Linked DNA regions of Struthio camelus. The protein of the gene in region 2 interacts with the protein of the main gene of each other region in a pairwise test. Links are inferred from orthologs where the notes say so. Each region holds a gene or a part of one and is shown on either strand. Other genes may lie near its edges. The genes, in order: TASOR2, KLHL40 and SPMIP4.

Region 1 (7,012 bases), on a different chromosome or scaffold from region 2:
GCAGGATCTTTTGTAATGCTTTTCATCAGCATTAGCGACTGACAGTATTTATTTAGATCACCTTTCGGCTACAACCCTACCCAAAGAAAGCAGTCCCAACACAACCATTCAGTGTGTGAGACATGTTTAAGGAGAGATCAAGCAAGCGGGGCTGTTTGGTCTGGGGAAGAAGGGGCTGGGGAGGTCTAACTGCAGCCCACAACTCCTTGAAGGGGAGTCACAAAGACGATGGAGCCGCTCTTCCTGGCAGTGGCAGGTGGTAAAACAAGGGGAAACACCACAAGCTGCACCTTGGGAGGTTCAGACTGGACATCAGGGAGAAATTTTTCCCCAGGAGGGTCATGCAGCCTTGGGACAGGCCACAGAGAGGTGGGGGTCTCCATCCTTGGCTGGACAAAACTAGCCTGGTGTTGGTGAAAATCTCCTTGGAGCAGGAGTCCTCCAGAGGACCCTTCCAACCAACACTTCTGTGATTTTATCACCTCCCTCCTGCTGTCTTCAGCTGCTCATGTAATTGCAGATTTGATTATTGCAAGTTTTCCTTTGTTAACTCATTGCACAAGCAGTTGTTGCTACCTTTCATCTCAGCAGATGCTCTTCAAAGCACTTGCCCTAAATGTATTTGCTCTGACCTGCCATGGCTCCCCTCTTCTATCAGTGTACAATCTGCTTGATGTGGATTCACTTAACGCAGGGGTCTGCGTTGACTCTTCCCAAATCTAGCACCATTCCAGATCTTCTAGCGCTCAGACAATTAAAGATGCCTCTTTCTTTGCAGAACAAGTCAGCCAAACGATTCTGTGTGCTAGCACACAAGCCGTGATGGACTGAGACAGTCAGGCTTTCCGTGTTTTGACCTTGCAGGAGAGAGCGCTCCAGCTCTAAAACGAAATACTCACTAACAACAAGTTTGCCTTTCTTAGGTTACATTTCACAGATGCCTTAAATGCAGCCCACAGACTCTAAGTTGAAACCCACACATAGGAATCCACCACACTGCACCTAAAATCTGCCACGTAAGCTGGAGTTTACCTGCTATTTCCCAGGACCCCAGTCCCGCAGTGCTGTGCCGACCCCATAAATCGATGCCAGGGAAGTCCTGGATCTAAAGCGCACGCAGTGTAAAGCTGACTGCACATGCACTGCTGCAATGTCTAAGATTTCCTAGAACACAAGCAGCCTTGTCAGAGCAACAGCAACATTTCACGTGTTAAAAACAACCTTCTCAACGCTGAGCCCTCCCACGTATTTTCCAGTTGGGAAAAGAAAAAAATTGTCTGTGCCTGGAGAAACTAGGCGTACTGTTATTCTACCTGAAACGAGCTGAAAAACAGCAGCTATACTCATCCAGATCAGTTACTTACTCCTCTTGCTTTTGAGCAAGCCTGACAACCTTCAAAACGTTCCTTAGGTTCGTTTTGCGGCATTACTTTTGCTCTCGCTATAGATGCTCCCATTTTAGCGTTGACTCTAGTTTCTTGTTCTGCTTGATAGAGCAGTGAAGCTGCTGTATGGACCCTCTGGCTACGGAAATTACCAATAGCACCAAGACGCGCTTAGCGTTTCCAGTAAAAATGGAACTGAAGCCACGAAATACTGAAATACCCCCGCACGCCCACGAACTCTGAACATCCCACCAAGACTGGAGGGTAACTCTTTCACCATCAAAAACAGAGCAGAACGGTGCCAAAACAGCACGTGCCACAAAAGACGGACGTTTCACTTTCTTCTCTCAAATTTGGCGCTCACGATCAGTCGCGGCGTTTCAACCGAGCAGTACCGGTATACCTATTTCATGCGACAATGCTGGCGCCGTTGCACCAAAGCTGTAATCCCGTAAACGCTTCTCTTGACGGCTGCGCTAACCTACGCAAGCCCTTGCCCCGACGCTCGTCCTCTTCCCCTGCTGCCACAGTTGGGGCAGAATGAGCAACACCAGCAAACCGCAGCAGGAAAAAAAAATATATATATATATATATATCACGTAGAAGAGGCTATTTTTAATCCAGATAAGTTCAGCAATCTGCTGCGCAGCTCCACGACGAGTTGCGCCCACACGGCTCAAAGCCTGGCGGGATGTTGACGTCTGGGAGGACTGGGAGCGTTCGGGATGGACACGCCGAAGCCAGCTCTGCCACCGACAGACGTGCTTGGGCTGAGTTCACCGGGAACACCAAAAACAGACCAAACTAGCGCTGAAAGACTAATTTCGGGGGCCAGGTGGTCTCATCGGTGGCCCGAGACCCCCTCTTCTCCTAAAGGCGGCGGATTTTCCGACACACCGACTTTCCTAGGGGAAAAACAGCAACTCCGGGGCGCTCGAGTCGCGTTTAACGCTTCTGGAAACTCCTGGACGCCACCAAAGACCAGCTGGCGACGCGAGGAGACCCGCGTCCGCCTTCCCCGCCCGTCAGCGGGCTCTCGCGGCGCCGGCGAGCGTGGCGACCCCGAGACCGCCGCCGGCGCCGGACCCCCGAAAAAAAAACAGCCCGTTGACGCCTCGGCCCGAACCCCAGCGCCAAAACCACCAGCTGAGCGGGGCCGGGTGGGTTTCCTTAGTTAAAAAAAAAAAAAATTTTTTTTTTTTTTAATTTGGCTCGATCACTATTTTCGTGTACTGCTCGCGCGCCTCGTCTGCCGGATCCTGGCCAAATTCATCCTTTTACCTCAGCCAGCCCGGCTCCTCCACCAACCCTAGGTGGGGGCAGGTTTGTTTTGTTTTGTTTTGTTTTTTTTTGGGGGGGGGAAGGATGAGGAAGGCGAACTGAGCTGAAACCCGGGTGGAAACACGATTATTTTGCCCCTCCTCGCTTCTCCTTCAGGCCACCTGCCTGCGGGCACCGAGCTCCCCCCCCCCACCCTCAACCGCCGCCTCCACCGCACCGCGCCGCCGCTCACCCGTCCCGCCGCCGGCGGCCGCCCCGTCCCGCCGCTCGCCCATGGCTCCGCTCCGCTGCCTGGTGGCTGCCTCAACCCGCCCGGCCCCGGTGGCGGTGGTGGCGGAGCGGGCGAGCTGAGGCGGCGCGGGGCGGCACGCGGGGCCGCCGCCATCCGCCGGCCGCAGGAAGTGACAGGGAGGCGCGGAGGGGCCGAGGAGGGGGGGAGGAGGAGGAGGAGGAAGGGAGGGAGAGGGAGGGAGGTGGGTGACGGTGCGTGGGTGGCGGGGGGAAGGGGGGAAAAAATAAAAAAGTCCGCCCCCCCTCTCTCCAAAATAAAAAAAAAAAAAAAAAACAGAAAGTGAAAACTGAACCGGAAAGAGAGTCCGGCCGCGCCCGCCGTTTTCCTCTTCCCGCAAGGTCGCCGCTGCCGCCGCCAGCATGGCGCCCGCGGCCCCTCGGCGGCGTCCTTCTTCCCCTCAGCGCCGTCCCTCAGCGCCGTCCTTCCTCCCCTCGGCCCCTTCCCTCAGCGCCGTCCTTCCTCCCCTCGGCCCCTTCCCTCAGCGCCGTCCTTCCTCCCCTCAGCGCCGTCCTCCATCCCCTCGGCCCCTTCCCTCAGCACCGTCCTCCATCCCCTCGGCCCCTTCCCTCAGCACCGTCCTTCCTCCCCTCGGCCCCTTCCCTCAGCGCCGTCCTTCCTCCCCTCGGCCCCTTCCCTCAGCACCGTCCTTCCTCCCCTCGGCCCCTTCCCTCAGCGCCGTCCTTCCTCCCCTCAGTGCCGTCCTTCCTCCCCTCGGCCCCTTCCCTCAGCGCCGTCCTTCCTCCCCTCAGTGCCGTCCTTCCTCCCCTCGGCCCCTTCCCTCAGCACCGTCCTTCCTCCCCTCGGCCCCTTCCCTCAGCGCCGTCCTTCTTCCCCTCAGCGCCGTCCTCCATCCCCTCGGCCCCTTCCCTCAGCGCCGTCCTTCCTTCCTTCAGCGCCGTCCTTCCTCCCCTCGGCCCCTTCCCTCAGCACTGTCCTTCCTTCCCTCAGCACCGTCCTCCATCCCCTCGGCCCCTTCCCTCAGCACCGTCCTTCCTCCCCTCGGCCCCTTCCCTCAGCGCCGTCCTTCCTCCCCTCAGTGCCGTCCTTCCTCCCCTCGGCCCCTTCCCTCAGCACTGTCCTTCCTTCCCTCAGCACCGTCCTCCATCCCCTCGGCCCCTTCCCTCAGCACCGTCCTCCATCCCCTCGGCCCCTTCCCTCAGCACCGTCCTCCATCCCCTCGGCCCCTTCCCTCAGCACCATCCTTCCTCCCCTCAGCGCTGTCCTTCCTCCCCTCAGCCCCTTCCCTCAGCACCATCCTCCATCCCTTCTGTCCCTTTCTTCATCTCCTCAGCTCCTTCTCTCAGCACCATCCTTTGGCCTTTTGACCCCTTCCTTCAGCCTCCTCCCTCATCCCCTTGGTTCCTTTCTTTGCCCCTTCCCTCAACCCCTCGGCCCCTTCCCTGGGGCCTTCCCTCAGCCCCATCACTCCCTTTGGCCAAGCCCTTGAGGAGCCCCCACCACTTGTCCACCCCACTGGGGCCTTGGAGTGCCCCCAGGAGCCCTCTCGCACGGTGGCTCCTGGCCCTGCTCTGTGGTGTCCCCGGGAGCTCTGGGGGTACCCCCATGGCAGGGGGTAGCTCCATCACCCTTCTGGTGAGGACTTGCCCCAGGGTGTTGAAAGGTGGCCGGTCTCCCTCCAAGGTCTCCCTCCAGATATTGGTGTCTCTCGGCGTTTTGTTCCTGCCTCCTAGGGAATGCATCGAAAGGATTGCAGTGTAGGGCCTGGGGGCAGATTGGCTGCAAGAACGAGGTGGAGCGGCAAATGAACGTTTAAGCAGAGAAAGTAGATAAATAATCCAGTTTCCCTCCACCACCTGGAATCTCTTTATCAGCCTGGCAGGGAGACAACTGGTCACTTGAGTAGCTGTGAATAAACTGTAGGACAGAACCAGGCCTTTGGGCTTTCTCCTCGCTCCCCCTTCCCCTGTGGTAATTAGTTGCCTGATGATTTTGGCTCCTCTGTGGCTGTCTGCTGAGCAGAGCACTCTCATTTCTCCGACGTGGCTGCCTTGGTCCCCGTTGTGCCTGAAGGTGGCTGTCGAGGGGAGGTGGCTGTTAGTGGGCATGTGAGGTGCGGGGACACGCTGCTGCTGCTCCATGTTGCAATAGATGATGGGACATGGTAGAGGGCAATCGAGGTTACACAAGGCTTTGTGTGAACACAGCGTGCCTAATAGTGCCTTAATGTTTGCGTTGCAGAAGTGGGCCTACAGCCATGCTGGACAGCAGCCCTGGCGGGTGCTAGGAAAGGAGACCACCCAGCGTTTTAGGTACTGTAGGCACAAAGCAACGAGCCGTGGCTGATCGTTTGGCCGATTTCCAAGGGTAGGAGCTTGATGCGTTAAAAAGACTTTGCTTTTCCCCGTTGCTGCTGACAGGAGGAGACGTGAGCCACCTGCGACCAGGCTGTGGAGATGGCCCCGAGCTCGTGGCGTGCATGGGCCGCAATGAGAGCCTGGGGCAGAGATCCCTGTGCTGGCATGTCACGCTCGGAGAGCGCTGTGTCCGCACGTTGTGGACGCACTGCGCAGTGACATAGCTGAGCTGATAAATGTATGCTGATGCTGCTTCCTGATCCTCAGTGGCTTCTGCACGGCCAGCTTGGGCGTCTCTGTGCTCGGGTATATTTTCACAAGCTGGGGCAGTCATAGCCTTAGTAGGAAGGACTAGCAAATGAAGGAAAAAAGGAGAAAGAGAAATGAAGTGAAAATGTGACAGCTCACTTATAAGTCACTTATTACTCAAGGCAATGCTGCAGGCCAGTAACATGCCATTAATGATACTTTCACCCGGGAGCTCCTAACCTCTTGCTATAATTAAACATCACAGCAGCAGAGCAGAAAGCGCTGTTCCCACGGTGAAAAAGCCAAGGCATGAGGAAGAGCAAGTGATTTGTCTAGTGCTATAGGGCCTGGCACTGGCAGAGCTGGTAGCAATCGCTCGCTCTGACCGCTCAGCAGCGTATCCCGTGTTTGTCCTCCTAGATCCGCCTGACGTATCAAAGGCTGGAGTTCTCGCTGGTGGTGCTCGTCCTAAACGTAGCCTGCCCTGGAACGTGAAAAAAAGGCCCTCCATGTTGTTCCAATGCCTTCATATTCGGGTGAAATGAGACGGAAATATCTTCCCAAGGTCAGTGTTCCCGGTTGCCCTGCGAGGGTATAAGATGAACAGCCCTGTGTAACTGCGTGCCTCGTGCTGGGAGGCGTAAGGAGGACGCCGAACTTCTGCGGCAGTTGTAACGAAAAGTAGAGCCGCAGTCAGACTGCATGCGTGTCCATCACAAGTGTGACCGTTTTCAGGCACTGCAGCAATGAAACACGAGTTATCTTAGCATAAAGAATTACTTCTGATAAGGAAAATTTGGATTTCTCGTGACAGATTCTTTCTCAGTGATTTGTTTCCATTTTCAACTATTACAAAAGCATAAGGGATTTAAGGGAATTTTGTTGTCTATTTTTGGGGGGTAGGGAGGAGAGGAAGAGAGTAACGACTGGAGTTTCTGGGGGTCAGACACCCATTCTGACTGGAGTTTCTATATTGCTGTTTGGTTTTTCATGCCTTTTTGGGCAGGTAGACATGTGCAGTCTGCATAGGAGGAGAGCCTATGACCTGACTTTGGTGTGGGCCTAGTTCCTGGCAGTTCTCTATTTTGGCTTTGAAAGAGTGACTCATGAACTTCTGGCATACCTACAAGTCTAAAATAAAGAAGCAGTCATTTGAAGATCTATTTCCTTTTATTATCTTTTATTTGGAAAAAAATGAATGATATATGCAGTCAGTATATATATATTTTTATATATATATTGCTGTCAGTATATATATATATATATTGCTGTCAGTATATATATATATTTTGCTGTCAGTCATTCTAAGAAAACAGTTGCAATGAAATGAGTAAATAAGGAGGTGGACACAATAGTTCTTGAAAGCTACAGTCATCAGGCTTAAAAACAGGGAAGATAAAGCAAATAATTAAGTTTGAGACCATTACTGACTTTGTGTGGGGGAGTATTAGGATCCCCAGCAGCTATGTGAGGTGCACAAACACAACCTG
Region 2 (7,955 bases):
CTCCCTTCCCTCACTAGTTTTTGCACTTTTCCCAAATTAATCCTGTGTGGTCTTGCTATTGTTTGGGATTTTTCTCCTCTGCCTGTAATCTCCCTTGAGCCCTGGCGCTTTTTCCTTTTCTCTGTGCTGATCAGTGTGTGCTGCCCTCCGAGGCTTGCTATTGCATTCCCCATATCACGAGGTGCTGCTGCTAAAATGCAGCTGCAGCTGATCCTTTTCCAGAGAAGATCCCAACCTATGGGTGGGTCTGTGGCTTCTCCCAGGTTCGTGTCCCACCTAGGGCAAGAGCACTGCCTTAGCCACAAACCCCCTGTTGGGTCTGTCGGCTTCAGTGGCTTGACACAGCTGCTGGGCTGGCTCCAAAACTTGGGAAGAAACCCACTTTTTCCAGAGTGCTCTCTCTTCATATTTCCCATCATAAGGTGATACCACTAAATGCAGCGAGACCTATCCTGAGTCACAGCTCCCAGAATAAGTACAAAGGCCTAGGACACATATCTGCCTTCGGCCAATCCAGCTGATTGGAAACGAGGACTGGCTTGGGCTCACGTGACTATGGGTTCAACTCCATGAGCAACAGCTCACTGGTGAGGAGGGAACCACTGATCCACCTGCACGTGTAAGACTCATCACTTCAGAAACAAATGGATTTATGGAGACCAGTGCTATTTCCAGGAAAACAGGGCCTGAGAGCTGTTGTTTTGGGTCTATGTTGTCTATAAAAGGGCTTTCCCCCTCCCCTCCAAATTTCACTTTGGTGAAGACTTCTCTGGAGCAGCAGAACTCATTGAACCTTTCCATCCTTTGGCAGGTGGAAAACCCCACGGAGTAGACAACCTTGGCATGAGGTCTGCTATCATCTGTGAAATCAGCAGCTGGATTTTAGTTCCTTCATCATCGTGCCTTGCTTTGGCAGGAAAACCAAACCTCATCCAGGCAGAGAACAGCCCTATTTCTGAGTGGTCTGTGAGTGAAGCTGACTCATCCAGGACCATATAGGAAGCCACTGGCAGAGATGGGACTTCCAGGCTTCATTTGGCTCTGTAAAGTGAAACCAGACCATTCTAGAGCCTGACAGAAAAGAACCCAAATCAGCCATTAGTAGTCTGAAATGCTCCAGAGAAATGAAGGTGGGTTGTCACCCACCTAGTCTTAGCTCTCTCAGGGTGAAGGGTGTAGAGTTTAGGCTCCCTAAGAGCACAGGGGGAGACAGGCATCTCTGGGAACTGATTCACCACACCTGAATTAGACACTTGCCTTAGAGGAGAGGACTCTGGTGACGGCTGTGTCTCGCCATTCACTCTAGAGAGATCTTAAATAATGAATTCAGACTAGACAATCTTAACTATTCCCAGTGCCTTCTAATCACAGCAGAACTGGGACACTATCTTAGTGACAGCTTGTGGCAACATTCATACATGTAATCCCCAGCCTTTTGTTTCCTGCCAACACTATTTTTTACTATATCGGCTCAATACAGCTGCAGCCATCCCAAGCCCTGCCATCAGAACGATGTAGCCAGCACACATGGCCCAGACTGACCACCCCAAGACATCCCTCTATGAAACAGAGAGCTCTCTGGCTCCTGAGCACAGGCACATTCAGCTCAGCTAAAGGTGGGCCTTCCCCAGGGAAGTTTTTGCTATGGCCTGGTGGGACAGAGGGCCAAGCTGGTGGACCCAAAATCCTCTGAGCAACTCTGTGCTCTGGGGTGGCTCACACAGCCACATAGTGCTAATGGGGAGACCTTAGGGGTGCTCTCGGAGCTATTGTGCACCTCTTGTGAACCCTTCTGGGACTGGGAGGAAAAAGCTAGCATTGCTTTAGTTGCAGCTCAGCCAAAAGCTTCAGATCGTCTCAGCCATCAAATAGTTGAAGTTTGGATTTTTTTTTCTTCTTACATATTAGCTTACACATTTCCAGGCTGCATCTCAGGCATTGCATTCTTTTATCGCTTGTGTGTTTACTCTTGCTTCATTCCTCGTTTTTATTTGCGTGCGCTGGTTGGTTGTTGCCATTTTACAATCTCTGTTTATGCACAGGCAAGTCAATAGGATTTCTCGGGGCTTGGGCTGAACCCCCCTGCGCTGGAGAGCCTCAGCCACATCTGCTTGCTGGGGGATACATTTTTCTTTCTGATGATAGCAGTGGAATCTGAGGCAATCATCAGTTTTGAGCCTCTGGCAATGGTTCTCTCTTGTGGAGGTTTTGATCAGGGTAGACTTTTCCCACAGAGGCATATGCTGAGGCTGATTGATTGTCTCTTTCTCAGGGCTGAGCAGTGAGAGACACTGCTGCAATACCACCACTTTGGCCACTGGCCCTTTGGCTTCTAATGGTGGCAGTAACCGAGCACAGTGGCAAAGGGTTAACCTCATGCAAAGTTGGGGAAAGCCTGAGTTCCCCTATGCACTGGCTCTATAACAAATTACTCGCTCAGATGGTGTCTAAGATTAGCTCCTTCTGGCAGCTCCAGGAGATGCAGCTGCTGGGTAAATTTAGATTCTTAGTGAATGGATTATTTTCTCTCCGAGAGTATCCAAGTCAGGAGGGCACTGCAGAGTCACTGGGCTTTGCCACGTGAGTCATTCACTTTGACATCAGGAGGTCGGTGACTCTGTTTCTCCTTCCAGGCAGCCAGAGACCTGAGCTGTGCCACGAAAAGACACAGAGACCTTGGTCTCAGTCTGCTGCAGCTCAGCACGTCTTCAGCTGTGCAAGGACACACATATTCAGGAGAAGAGCTGAATTTTACACTAGGAATAAACACATCATGTTTTAGCTGTTTTGATGGCACAGGGTAAATCTGAGATGATGGGGAGGCCAAGAAGCTACCAAGAAATTTGTTAATGTCCAGCAGCAGAGCCTGTGTTGAAAATGGATGTGCATGGCAGCTGAAAGGGTTTTGGGATGTGACTAGAGGTGCCACCAAGGCACAGTATCTGCCCTAACTTCCAACATTTTGGAAGGCTCCCAAAGAAAAAAAACAATACGGCTTCTACCACAAAAGCTACACGATGGCAGTCAGCTAGTGGCATTGCAATAGCATGGAAGTGGAGTCACAATAACGGTGAATACAAATCAAGCTGCAGCAAAATGCCACGTAGATGTGTCTCTATTGAAGTCAGCAATATCCTATCTTGTGTAAAAATTGGAGGTGGAACGTGCAGACCTGCGAACAGATCCTCCTGTCTCTCATCTCGGATGGCAGTGCATTACAGCAGCTAGAGATTGGCAGCAGGCCCTGTAGGTGTCCAACATTTATTTACTACATAAATAAATGACATATATAAGGGACTTCATAAAGCACTTTGGCATAGCTGAAAGCTGGCTAAGAACAATTCCTGTTTTATCCACAGGGAAACTAGAACACACCAACACCAAGCGTCCCCATCCAGGTTGCAAAGTGGTCCAGATCCTGCCCTCACCAAGCATTGACATGATTCAGACACGAGGCTGCTTATGTTACTCCAAAGTTACAAGAAACCCAGGGATATTTCACTTATCTTTCCCATGAGACACTGTGTCTCAAACGGGTACATTTAATGCACTCCATATACAGTGTCCCAAAGTCTACTTCTCAAAGTATGCTAGCAAACAATTTCCCTCTCCTACCGAGCTCCAAATCATTGTCTTTCACTCAGGGTCTTTCTCCTTTGGTTGAATGTGTGTATGTGCTCTTTCAGACGTGCAGTTACGGGCTTATGCTGCGTTCACCAAAATCAGCTGAGCAAAGGGCTGGATGGCTGGAGATAGCAAGGGCTGGTTAAAAAGTCCTCTGTTTCTCAGCAACGGGTAAGAATTCAAGCTTAAATCTTCTTCCATGGCACAGAGAAAACAGGGATGAGATTGGGTTTGAATTCCAGGGCATAAATCACAGCAAGACGGTAGCGGTGGCCACATCAGTCTCACATCCCTCGGTGGAGTGCCCTTTGGGTCTGAGTCAGGGCCTGGGGATCGAGCCGTAATGTGAGAGTCTTGCATTGTGCTTCTTCAGTGTGCTCATTCCACAGGCGACTGGTACCTGACGTTCTCTGGCTGTGAAGCAGGTATGCCTCCCACGCTTTCATTAATTAGGCATGAGAACGGCATTAAATCATTTTTTCAAGACATGTAGAACTGAAGGGACCAGTTCTGCAGAGGGTTTGAGACCGTAGCAGACATCACTCTGCGTGGCTGACAGTGGAGGGGAGATAATTACTCTTCAGTGTGCAATTCCTAGCCCTCTTTTCCTTTGCTATAAAGACTGTTTTATTTATTTATTAGCCGCATGGTAGGCATATATCGTGCTGAGCCATTTTACAGTCCTTACTACACAGTATAGATGTTGAACACTTGACAGTGGATGTTGACTATTTCTTGTAGAAAGAAATGTGTTATGCTTGGGCTGGAAATGACCTGAAGAGGGTCTGCTCAGAGCAGGCTCAGCATTAGCCAATCCCTTTCTCAAAGCTGCATGCCTAGCACACCCTAAAACCTTCAGGAGTGGGACTTGGATAGTCTCTGGGAGACATAGTCTTGTGAGAGAGCCAAATGCTCTAGTGGACCAGATGTTATGGAAACCAAGGAGTGAAATCTCTAGGCCTATAATATGTCAGAGGGTCAGATAAATGATGAGGATGGCTCTTTTTGGCCTTAAAGAAATGGATCGGGAGCCTACCTCAGCAGTCTGCCACCCATGGATAGCCTGCATAACACCCCCAGATGTCTTATAGAAAATCATTACTGCAGCAAGAAAGTGCACCTTCCAGGTGCCTTACATGTGGGTGAGCTACAGTAGTTTGACTGCCAGGAGTGCTTGGAGAGCCCGTCAGTGACTGGCCTGACAAAGGTGGTTGGAGGGGAGCTGAGGTTTTGGGGTAGGCCCACCGATGTTTTTCTTTACTCTTTCTTTGCTTTGTCATGCTTCTCCTCCTCGATGGCCAGGACACGCTCACGCTCTTTGATCAGCTGCACTCCACAGTACGTGATGAACCAGATGGACAAGGTGCTGACAGGGAAACCTGGAAGACGGAGGAACATGGTCATCTCGGTATGGCTGCTTGCCTAATGGGGCCAGTTCTTCTCTAGCACTGCTTCCCCTCAGGCAGGCTCAGGAGGTCTCACAGGCTCACAGTGGCCAACCTCATTTTCCACTCTGGATCCAGCCCTAGAGCGTCACTGACATAGGAGAGAAATCCCCAGGGGCAGATTTTAGATTAAGCGGTACCTGCGTCCACCAAAACACCATGGACTGCAGTCAAAGCTGGAAAATGCTAGAATGGCTTTAAGCGTTCCCTTCCCCCCAGACAAACCTCCTTCTTCCCCCTAAATTCAGTCTGGTTGACCTTCTGGCCAGCCAACCTGCCAAAACCCCTTGTTGCTCAGTGTTACGACTTTCTGGAAGCTTTGGGCCCAGTTGACGCTGAGGGTCTCACCTGAGCCACGTCCTGCACCTAACGTGAACATAGTATGCATGCAGGGAAACACACCTATTTGTCACCTAGATAAGCAACCCAAGGGCAGGGAGCTCTCATTCCACTTAGGAAGGGTCCGATGTCTTTTGTAACCATAAGTCTGGTATCCATAGCAGAGGAGAGACGCAGACTTTGTACCTGCTAAAATAGGACCTCTGGAATGAATAATGCAACCAGGAAAAGCCAGCTAACTCAACTGGCAGGAACTTCTGACCGTCACATTATCCGTTTCCTATGCCAGCCCCTGGCCCAGAGAATGGCTGGGAGGGCATGGATCCCAGGTAGCTATTTTTACCCTGCACTCTTTGAACTGACTTCAAAATAGTGTTGCCACCTACTGATAAGAAGCGTACAGACAAGATTGTTTAGTAGGAGCCTAGCATGAACTGCTATATTAAATGATGAAGATGATCAAGTACAGATGCTAGGAAGTAGATGGGTTAGGTGGGAAGATTTGTAACTATCATCTTTGGGCTGACATGGGAATAACTGCTAAAGCAAAGGGAGATGAGACAGGCTGAGTAAATCCCTTCTTCCAGCAAGGGAACAATTTCCCAGCCAGGGAGAACTGGAGTCAGCCCACCTTGGGAGGTTGACAGCAACTTTTCCATTGCTGCAAAAAGTCTTAATCATAGAGCCCTGCCTTCCTAGGAGCTATACAAACACACCTCGAATGCAATCTGTGCCCCACAGAGCTTGCATGAGAAGGATGGGAGGAAAGAAACCACTTTCTGCATATTTTGTAGGTGGGGAAGGTGCTGCCCACAAAAATTAAGGTAGCTTGGGGGTGGTCACATACCAAGTCAATGGCCAGGCCACTCTGTACTCAAGAGAATTGGCAAGCCCCAGGCCCCAGCTCCCCTCCCATGTGTCTCCCATTAGGATGAGATCCCTCGCTGAGGAGGTCAGTAGCACCTTACCTATCAGGAGGAGTCTCTTGGTGACCAGCAGCGCGAATTCCAGGCTGTTGAGGGCCAGGATGTTGTAGAGAACGATGGCCCAGAAATTTGCTGCCCCAAAGACTGCCCTAATCCGCCGAGACATGGCCTCTGACATTTTGGCCTGTTCAGGGGAGAGGAGCAGAGAATTAGGGAAAACGGGGCTGGTTCTTACAAGGGTGACATGGTTTTAGTTTTTCTTTCCCAGAGCCTATGTAACCACAGCCAGCTATCCCTGGATAGCTTATCTGGTGAGCTGCAGGTCCTGAGACACCCCGGCAGCTCCACATGGAGTCAACTCCTGCATGGTGCAGCTCCTAGGAGGTCAAGCTAGGTCCTCAGTGAGTTGTTTGGAGACCTCAGCATGGTGCTCCCCAGCACCCCAGGCTCTGCAAGGGCTGGCTGAATGTGACCAAGATCCTCCCCAGACTTCATGAGAAAGGGTAAGGAAAGGAGATGTGCTGAACCACAGATTCATATCAGCCAAACTCCAGAAGGGATCCCAGATGGGTAGGCATAAATCAGAGCAGCCTTTAGTGTCTGTGGGATCAAGAAGCATAAGGGCAATGTAAAACTTCTGCTCTGCTCCTGGGCTGGCATTTTGAGGTCTCATGTGTAGGGCCAAGTTGTTAGACATGGTTTCATGCTAATAGTAGCGGCTGGTAACTCCTTTCTTCATCTGTTGCCTTGGGTAAGACCTCCCTCAAGGCAGATGAACGCTGCTGTTTGCTAGGTTTATTATTAGCCCTATGTGGAAATCACTCCAAGCTTCTGGTAGAAACTGTTTCTTACGAATTAAAAAAAAAGAGCTGAAAGCTAGTGACAGCAGCAGAGTGGAATTGTCACCAGCACATAATCCTCAGGAGCAGCTGCTGAGAGCGGAGAAGGGAAGTGGTTTATAGCAATCTTCAAAGAGCACCATGAATCCCCAGGCCACTTAGTGCTGAGAATTGTGGTGCCGCAGGGAAGAAGATTTTACTAGCTGTGAGTGCTATAATCTGATTAAAAGTTCAACAAGGAGAAAAAATGGGAGGATTTTTCTTCAAAATTTTTATTCGAAAGTTGTCTTTACTGGATCAGCTTAGGTCCTCCAGACTTTTTAGGCTGAGCAGAAAAACAAAAAATATAATTATTTCTAGGAATGGGTCTCCTGACTTTTTCTTCCAACCTGTCTCCAAGGTACCCTGGTCCCAAACAGAGACTGGGCACTAAACTTCAGAGAGATTGGTAAAGAATTAATTGTAGTATCTGAACATTTCCTTTTATCACAAATTAAACCAAAAATATCCAATGCCAAAATGTTTTGCAGAACAAGAAAAAATTAATTTCCATATGGAAATACATAAACATTTTCCTGTGAACACACCTTGGTCTTTGAGTCCATCTATGCTACTTTGATGCCTCACTGGGCTGCAGTCCTAGTTCTCTTGGGCATCTATTTTCTCTTTGAAAGCTCGACACCCAGCCTGTTTCCTATGAAGCATCACAGGGTCATGGTGGGTGACACCATGCATAAGACGATGGGGTGCACAGCACAAGGACTTCCCTTGCACAACTGACA
Region 3 (7,198 bases), about 34 Mb from region 2:
CATGTGGATACTATGAAGTGACTAGCCAGAAGTTTGGTCGCACAGTCATAGAAAAGTGTGATGAAAATGATCAAAGTTGCAGAAAGAGCTACGTAGACTAGTACTTCTCAGGTAGAGGAAGAACTAACCAACAGGAGGAATAATAAAGACCTATAAAATCAGGACTGGTACAGAAAAGATGGATAGAAAATGATTATTCATGATTTCTAGCAACACAAGAACTAGGGGTATCAAAAGTAAGTACGAGTGAGAAGCTTTAACCTAAACTAAAGGAAGTCCTTTTTCATACAAAACACTAATGACGGAGCTCATTGCCATGGAATGCTGTGGAGATCATACATAAAACTCAGTTTAGAAAACAGCTGCACAAATTCCTGAAAGAAAAAGTTATTAAATACAACCACGCAGATGCAATCCCTACTTCAGAGAGTCTCTAAGCCACAGACTGCCAGAAGTTGAAAAGGCAGCCTGGAGAAATAACATTCAGGACAGGAAACCTGTTGTTATATTCTTCCAATACCTGCTACTGGCTTCTGCCACAAATAGGATACTTGTCTGAAAGGAACTTTTCTGAGCCAGAAAGGCCTTTCTCGTGTTTAGAGGCAGCTCTCAGACTGAGCTTTCACTTGAGCTGGAAATCCAAATTATCAATAACGTATTCAGTTCTAATGCAATCAGCCATACTTTTTGACAGGCTCTGAGCTTAAACCAGCAAAGTTATAAATTGGTGGCTTGAGAGTTGTAGAAGAGTCGTATGCTAGGATTGATACAGTCATGCTGTCACTACTGGGATCATTCAATGACTTGCTTTGCTTTACTTTCCATAACATTTTGGGGATTACCAGAAACATACAGAAAGTGAGAAGTGGGAAATCACAAAGATATCAGCTTTTGATCTTTGTTTCTTCCCACTGTAGAGCAAAAGACATAGTATTTTTTATTATCAGAATGGAGTATTTAGAATCAAATCTCTCCAGGACCATTTGTGACAGATTCTCTTCTGCTCAAGTTTTCTCTCTCCTGAGAGATGAAATTCCTCTGATTTGACTTGGTTCAGGAGGCACTGTTCCCATAGTTCAATTGTATCTTCACATCAGCAGTCTGGTCTCACACTTAGGTGTATGTAATATACAGCTGTGGCATCACCTATCAAAATCTCAGCCTTCGTTTCCTGCAGGAAAATCAAGAAAGGCTGCAAGCGTTGTCTAAAACTTCAGAATGTTTATACGATGGCTGTTACAGACCACATTCCTCTGACCAGATCTGGAAAGATATCTGATTAAAATGTTGGTGGTATCAGCAGAAGAAACAGATTTGTCTTATGGTTGTCATCCCAATTTATCCACTTAGAGCCCAAGAGCTGACTGCTAGAAGAAATACTCCAGATATGTCTTCAGAAAAGTAATGTGTACGTTTGTAGGCTGCAATTGTACTGATACTGTAAGAAAAGCACACACCTATAACAGCTTTCAAAAATCAGAAGATATTAAATGCTACTGAGGTTCAGCCCATCCCTTTATCCTGTGACCTATCGATATGCATAAAGTAAAAGGAAAATTAGAAGAAATTATTCCCATTGCCTACTAGTCTAAAAAAAGGAGACAGGTGATTAAGACAGATACAGGTAAAGAAAATCACATACAAGAAAGTTTATTTTGCTATATCCCAGATTTTGAGAGGCACTCAAGCATTGCTTTGCTTCACACAGCAACACCTCAGCAGATAAAGAACATCATCCTTTATTTCTTTTAAGGCATCGCTTTCAACAGAAGGTAGGACCAGATGCTCTCCAGAGGTCCTGTCCAACCCACATTTCTCTATGATTCTATAATTCTTCAAGCTTGGGAAATGCAGAGCTAAGGCAAAACTGTTATTTTGCAAAGGAGCCTTTATCTCTATTTCATGACCTTCTTTTATTAACTTTAATCCTGAGTCCTACAGCATAGGTAGGTCACTGGCCACAGCAGAATGTTTCCTAGTCAACAGCAGGAATGGTGCCAACAGGTAGAGGCATTTAACTGTTCCTGTCTTCTGGAACTTGCTGACCACTTAGCTCTCTTTCCCTATTTTGTCATATTTAGGGCACTTTGTTCTGGTTTTGAAGCTTCTGCAAAAGACATTTATCTCATCTCTGAAACCTGTAACAATTGACTTCTTATCAGTTATCATGTTCACTGCTCTGAGTATGACATCCAGCCACTTTGCCTCTTGCAACGCATTGAAAATGATTGGTACAGGCCAGAAAACAAAAACAACACGGTTCACAAACAGAAGTAGTTGAAAGCAACATGTACATCAGAAACCTCCCTCTTTCACTTGTCTGGGAATTCCTACATTTCAGACAGACTTAGAAGGCTGACCTTAAGTATAGGCTAGAGAGAGACAATAACCAGATGAGGAGTTTTCAATCCTTTCAGCTACAGCTTCACATTCTACCTATAGCAAAATACTTATCCCCTTTTTTTTCCCTCACATATATTTAATACCTCAGCCATAATGAATGAAGAAATGGTTAAATATTAGAAATGGGAGCTAAATTTCACACTCTGCATATTGCACAGATGCACAGACACGCACAGTGCAATACATGTATCGTATGGGCGCATTAAGTTACCATGTTTGATTTTGGAAATACTACATTTGTGCATATACGGGTAACAAATAATAGAAGAGTAGTACTTCAAAAACAGAAGTAACTATTAGCCACATTCTAGTTTTGAGAGTAAAACACAAGGAGAAAGCCAGACAGTTGCTCAGGCAAATGCAATATATAGTTTAAATCTCATGCTTCCATACTGCAAGAGTTTTTTTAAGGCTAATGAAGGGAAAAGCAGACATGGAAAAGAAGAAGGGAATTCCTGGGTCCTTCTGCTTCTGCGCATGTGTCTAGGGGAAGAACACACCTGCAGCCACTCAGCCGAGAAGCCTAAAGAGAGCCATTGAGAGACACTGAAACAAATCATACACAAGATGAGGCTAATTAACTGAAGGGAAAGAAAGAAGAAAGTTGTGCATACATGAGTGGAGAATTGGTGAGGACATAACAGTACCAGTCAAGTGACATTTTAAAGAATGACAGCAAAGAGACATTTCTCAAAACCCTGCTTGTATTTTGACCCTTACTTCCCAAAGCCGCCCTGCCTCAAGGAGAACACATTACATCGCTTTTCATCACATCTCTTAGATTCAAAGTATACAAAGGTTATCTTCTATCTCAGAAGAACTTTATACTAAATACTCCAGTTGAAAACAAATAGATTTAAAATTTGTGGAGAAGCTGAACAGAGCCAGTAAGGTCTGATGAGCTCCATGTGTTTTCATTCCCAGTAGGGCTCAGCTGGCCCCTTTGCATGAATTTGTGAGGGAGAACAGAGATGAACTTTTTAAAATCAGCTTCTCTGTGAGCTGCTCAATTCTCTGGGTACACATTATACATCTGTACCTCAAGGCAATAAAAGTATTTAGAATTAACTGTATTATATGATTAATATGAAGAATTCTATTTGTAAGAGAACTGAGGCAAACTTTCTCTGAACCCTGCTGTTGAAGAGAACAAATAAAAGCATGTGTCGGAGGTGTTGAACTCATTTTTGAGTGCAGCTAGTTTTTTAACCAACTATCTACTTGTCCTTTGTTGTCCATCATCAATTCTGAGAGCTGCAAATTTGCCCTCTCTGAAGAGACATTTCAAACGAAATGGGGCATCCTAATTCAGCTGCTGATTTCCATTGGCAGCTAGGAAAGAAAAAGTACCAGTTTAATTTTGATGCCTATGAAGGAATTAAATACCAGTGAGGGTACCTGTAACGTTGTTATACTGGGATCACATACGGCTTATGAAGTCTTGAAATAGCGAAGTGGGAACACAGGTGATTCTGAACTGCTCTTGATCTAGAAATGTCACTTTTGTGCGAAAAGAGCAGGGGAGTGGAAAATAGCAGACAGTTGTCAGAATACACTTCCTGCCCTGGTTCAGCCAACACCATATGCTTCTCGAAGTTCCATATTTCAAGACATTTCCTAACAGATAAATACTTGTACAGATTTATATTGCATATGAATCTATGAATCCCCAGGGGCAGCCTGGAGGATTGCAGAGTCCACCCCCACCTGAACTTTACAACTAGCAATAAATTCTTTCTGGGTGTTATTTACCTCCTGTGCTAAGTGCAGATGGTGCACATGTTGGGGCTGGCACAGCAGAGCAGCACAGGCTGTGCCTGTGCAGTAGCTCTCAGTGCAGATTTTCCTAGTTACCCCAGAAGTCACAGAGATGAGGACACGGTAGCTTGGTCTGACTGTGAAAAGGGGCACACAGGAGAAAGTTTGAAGGTACTGTACAAAATAATGACTTTTTTTCTGTTTTCCAACATATAACAGAAAAATATTCCCATCTTGTTAGTATTATCTTGAGAATGAATCTGTGCTATTCTTATTTTGTATAATACCGTTCTCTGAAATAGCCATGACGTTATATGCATGCGTATACGTCTGCTACAAAATTTCCTGTTCAGATCCCCACCAGCTAAGAAGTATCAGCGCTCCCACCGAGTATGTACATATACATATTCTGTCTCTGTATACTTGATCTTCAGAAAAGATGATGAGCAGTGCCAATTCACTTTGGCCTTAACTAAAACTGTACAACCCTCCATAATCTTGCATTTGATGGCATTATTCCCTTAAACAGTGACTTTAAAATACAAATTGGCATTATCATCTGATCCTGTCCTCACTCTAGGATAAATATAAAGTAATTCCACTCAATTTAATGTATTTATTGATTGATTTACATGACATGGAAACTTTGAGAGTGATTTTTATTAATAAATTAAAGAATCACTGAAGTGAATCTGCTGTGTGCAATTACACAATCTCTTTTATGAGAACAGGCCAAAAGTGAGGCACAGACCCTTGAACTAAAATTACTTTAATGGCTAGAAAAGAAGTACCTCTTTCTTCTAACATGCAAGTCGCATTTTCACATTCTGCGTTATATGGTAAAACTAAGAAAATGGTATATAATTATTTTCACAATCTAGATGGTCAAACGCTGTACTCAAAAGAAAGATAGACATCAAAACAATGTACACAGAAAAAGTGGCTTGGGGATATATATTTTTATGATTTTTTTTTCCCTAAAGCAAAAAGAAGACGTTTGTGATTACTGAAATACAATGCAAGTTACTTGAAATTCAAATAACCTGCAAAACTGCAAAACTGGTATGTGGCCACGAGAGGGCAGAAATAACATTCATTTTATAACCCCGTTTCTGTGGGAGAATAACATATTCCTTCAAAGAAAGTGTGTTTTAGATTGCCATAAGACGCTACCGAAGCAGTTAGGAAAACACAAACTATACGGTGAGCTTCACAAAGGCTACCTCGTGATCATTCAATGTTAACAATGGCTGGTAATACTGAACTTTCAATTTTTAAATATATAAACCATTCCTAGAACAAGTAAACTAACAAAAAAAGAAAAAACTGTAATGGCAATTGATTTAAAGCCTGAAAAGAGCATTTCTTGAAGTGTGTATTCAGCAGGCTATCAATGTTTTCTATCTTTTGTCTTTTAGCATTGGCAAAAGGATAGCAATGTGTATCATTTCTCATTTCAATAAACAGTTTGCTTTGGCTCTTTCTGGATCTGAATGCATCTGTAGCTCTCGCCACATAACAGCTATCAAAATCAGTGAGAAGTCTGGAGAACAACACCTCTGTCCTCTTTGTCCAAATGCTCACATTCTTCTGTTTTCACTACCACAATTAGGAGAAAACGAGAATTAAAGAAATGACTTTTCTCCCTACTTAGCCGAGTTGGCCTCAGCTCTTCTCCCTCCACTGTCCTTTAGGTAACAGAAATACAACTTTAATCAGTCAGAAATGAACTTTCTGTTTTCTGTTTCCGCTGGCTAAATTACGTTATGTCACTTGCGGCGTTTCCAGTTTCAGTGTGGAGAGATACTGGTTTAATAACTGTCTCTGCAACCTGAATCTTCTCTGCATTAGGTAACGGGAGGTTTGAAACAGCTCTGATTTGAGATCATACATCAGCCACAGTCAAACATGGATGACTGTTTTATCTGCCTATCAGAGCCATAAAGTAACTTTATTCCCTGGGAGCTGAATATGATTATGGCAGATTATGCATCCAATTCAAACAGCGGCTTGTTGCAAGGCTCTTTCTTCCCATTGCCCCAGCACCGCCTCAGCAAGCACACTGTTATGCCAGAGCTTTCATTTCGCTCCAGAGCTTTCATTTTGCTTATCCTACATTTTCCTTTTCCCTCTTTTCACATAACTCACTTAAGTAGATAACTTAGTAAAGATGTCAGGCTTGTAATTATCATTTTTAGGATTGGGTTGAGGTCAATTTTTCTTAGGTCTCCTGTACAGCCTGGGAGGAATTCTCAAAAGAACATTTGCCTCTTAATGCCACCTCATTTTTGCTTTTGCCTTCTGACTTCCGCAGTGTTTTAGAACTAAAACTGGTTGTGACAAGCTCATTCTCTGCATTCTGTGTACCAGACAAAGTCCTTTCAGGTTAAATTGATGGAGTCAGGGCCACAGGAGTGTTCTATTCACAGTCCTTGGAAATCATCAAAATATCCACCTTTCCCTAACTTCTTTGTCACATCAGCAAAGACAGTCACTGTAGCCACCCTGCTAAGGGAGCAATACAAAGAGATATCAGGGACTTTTGTTCACTAGTTCTGATCCCTAAAGGGACTCACTAACACCTGGAGACACAGCTGAGCGATGATCATATACCAGAGATGCATCCAACTTCTTGGCAAGCAGTGGTAGATCTACATGTGGGAACCCTCTTCTGTGTGAGGGTTTGGAGGGTACAAGTGATCACCTGAGACTTTTTCTCCCAGTTAGCTCACCTCTATAATAACAAATAATGCAGGTCAGTCTCGTACTGTCTTAAAACTTCAACTCTTTACCTTCCATGGTCTTTTTTTGGAAGGAAATAACAGAGGTTTTCAAAACCTGAATAATAAGTGAATGAAGGAAAAGATTCTGCTGAGCCTTGCTATATATTCATCTCTAGACTAAGATGAACCGTGGGAAAAAAACAAAGAAACAATGTTTTCATGGAACATATTTAATCTGTGAACTCCAGGGTTATTGATTGAGCTATAGCACTTGTACATGGCACAAACATTAAAGGGCAGTTCGCTTTAAAGTG

The links.
Region 1: the proteins of KLHL40 (region 2) and TASOR2 interact in binary tests that used the Homo sapiens proteins (3 or more experiments, as listed by UniProt). The two-hybrid records come from large-scale screens. The link is inferred for Struthio camelus from reciprocal best matches to the Homo sapiens genes KLHL40 and TASOR2.
Region 3: the proteins of KLHL40 (region 2) and SPMIP4 interact in a two-hybrid assay, tested with the Homo sapiens proteins (2 studies listed by BioGRID and IntAct). The two-hybrid records come from large-scale screens. The link is inferred for Struthio camelus from reciprocal best matches to the Homo sapiens genes KLHL40 and SPMIP4.

What each region holds. Positions count from the first base shown.
Region 1 is NC_090942.1:2,180,947-2,187,958, forward strand, and holds the start of TASOR2 (protein TASOR 2), read right to left. Parts: upstream 3,049-7,012; 5' UTR 2,942-3,048; coding exon 2,899-2,941; intron 1-2,898.
Region 2 is NC_090943.1:4,043,743-4,051,697, reverse strand, and holds the start of KLHL40 (kelch-like protein 40), read right to left. Parts: upstream 3,070-7,955; 5' UTR 1,902-3,069; intron 1-1,901. Other genes in the region: HHATL (protein-cysteine N-palmitoyltransferase HHAT-like protein), read right to left, coding at 4,882-5,003, 6,377-6,518. UniProt on the Homo sapiens protein: Substrate-specific adapter of a BCR (BTB-CUL3-RBX1) E3 ubiquitin ligase complex that acts as a key regulator of skeletal muscle development.
Region 3 is NC_090943.1:38,164,602-38,171,799, reverse strand, and holds the start of SPMIP4 (sperm-associated microtubule inner protein 4), read left to right. Parts: upstream 1-4,184; 5' UTR 4,185-4,332; intron 4,333-7,198. UniProt on the Homo sapiens protein: Microtubule inner protein (MIP) part of the dynein-decorated doublet microtubules (DMTs) in flagellum axoneme. May serve to reinforce and thus stabilize the microtubule structure in the sperm flagella.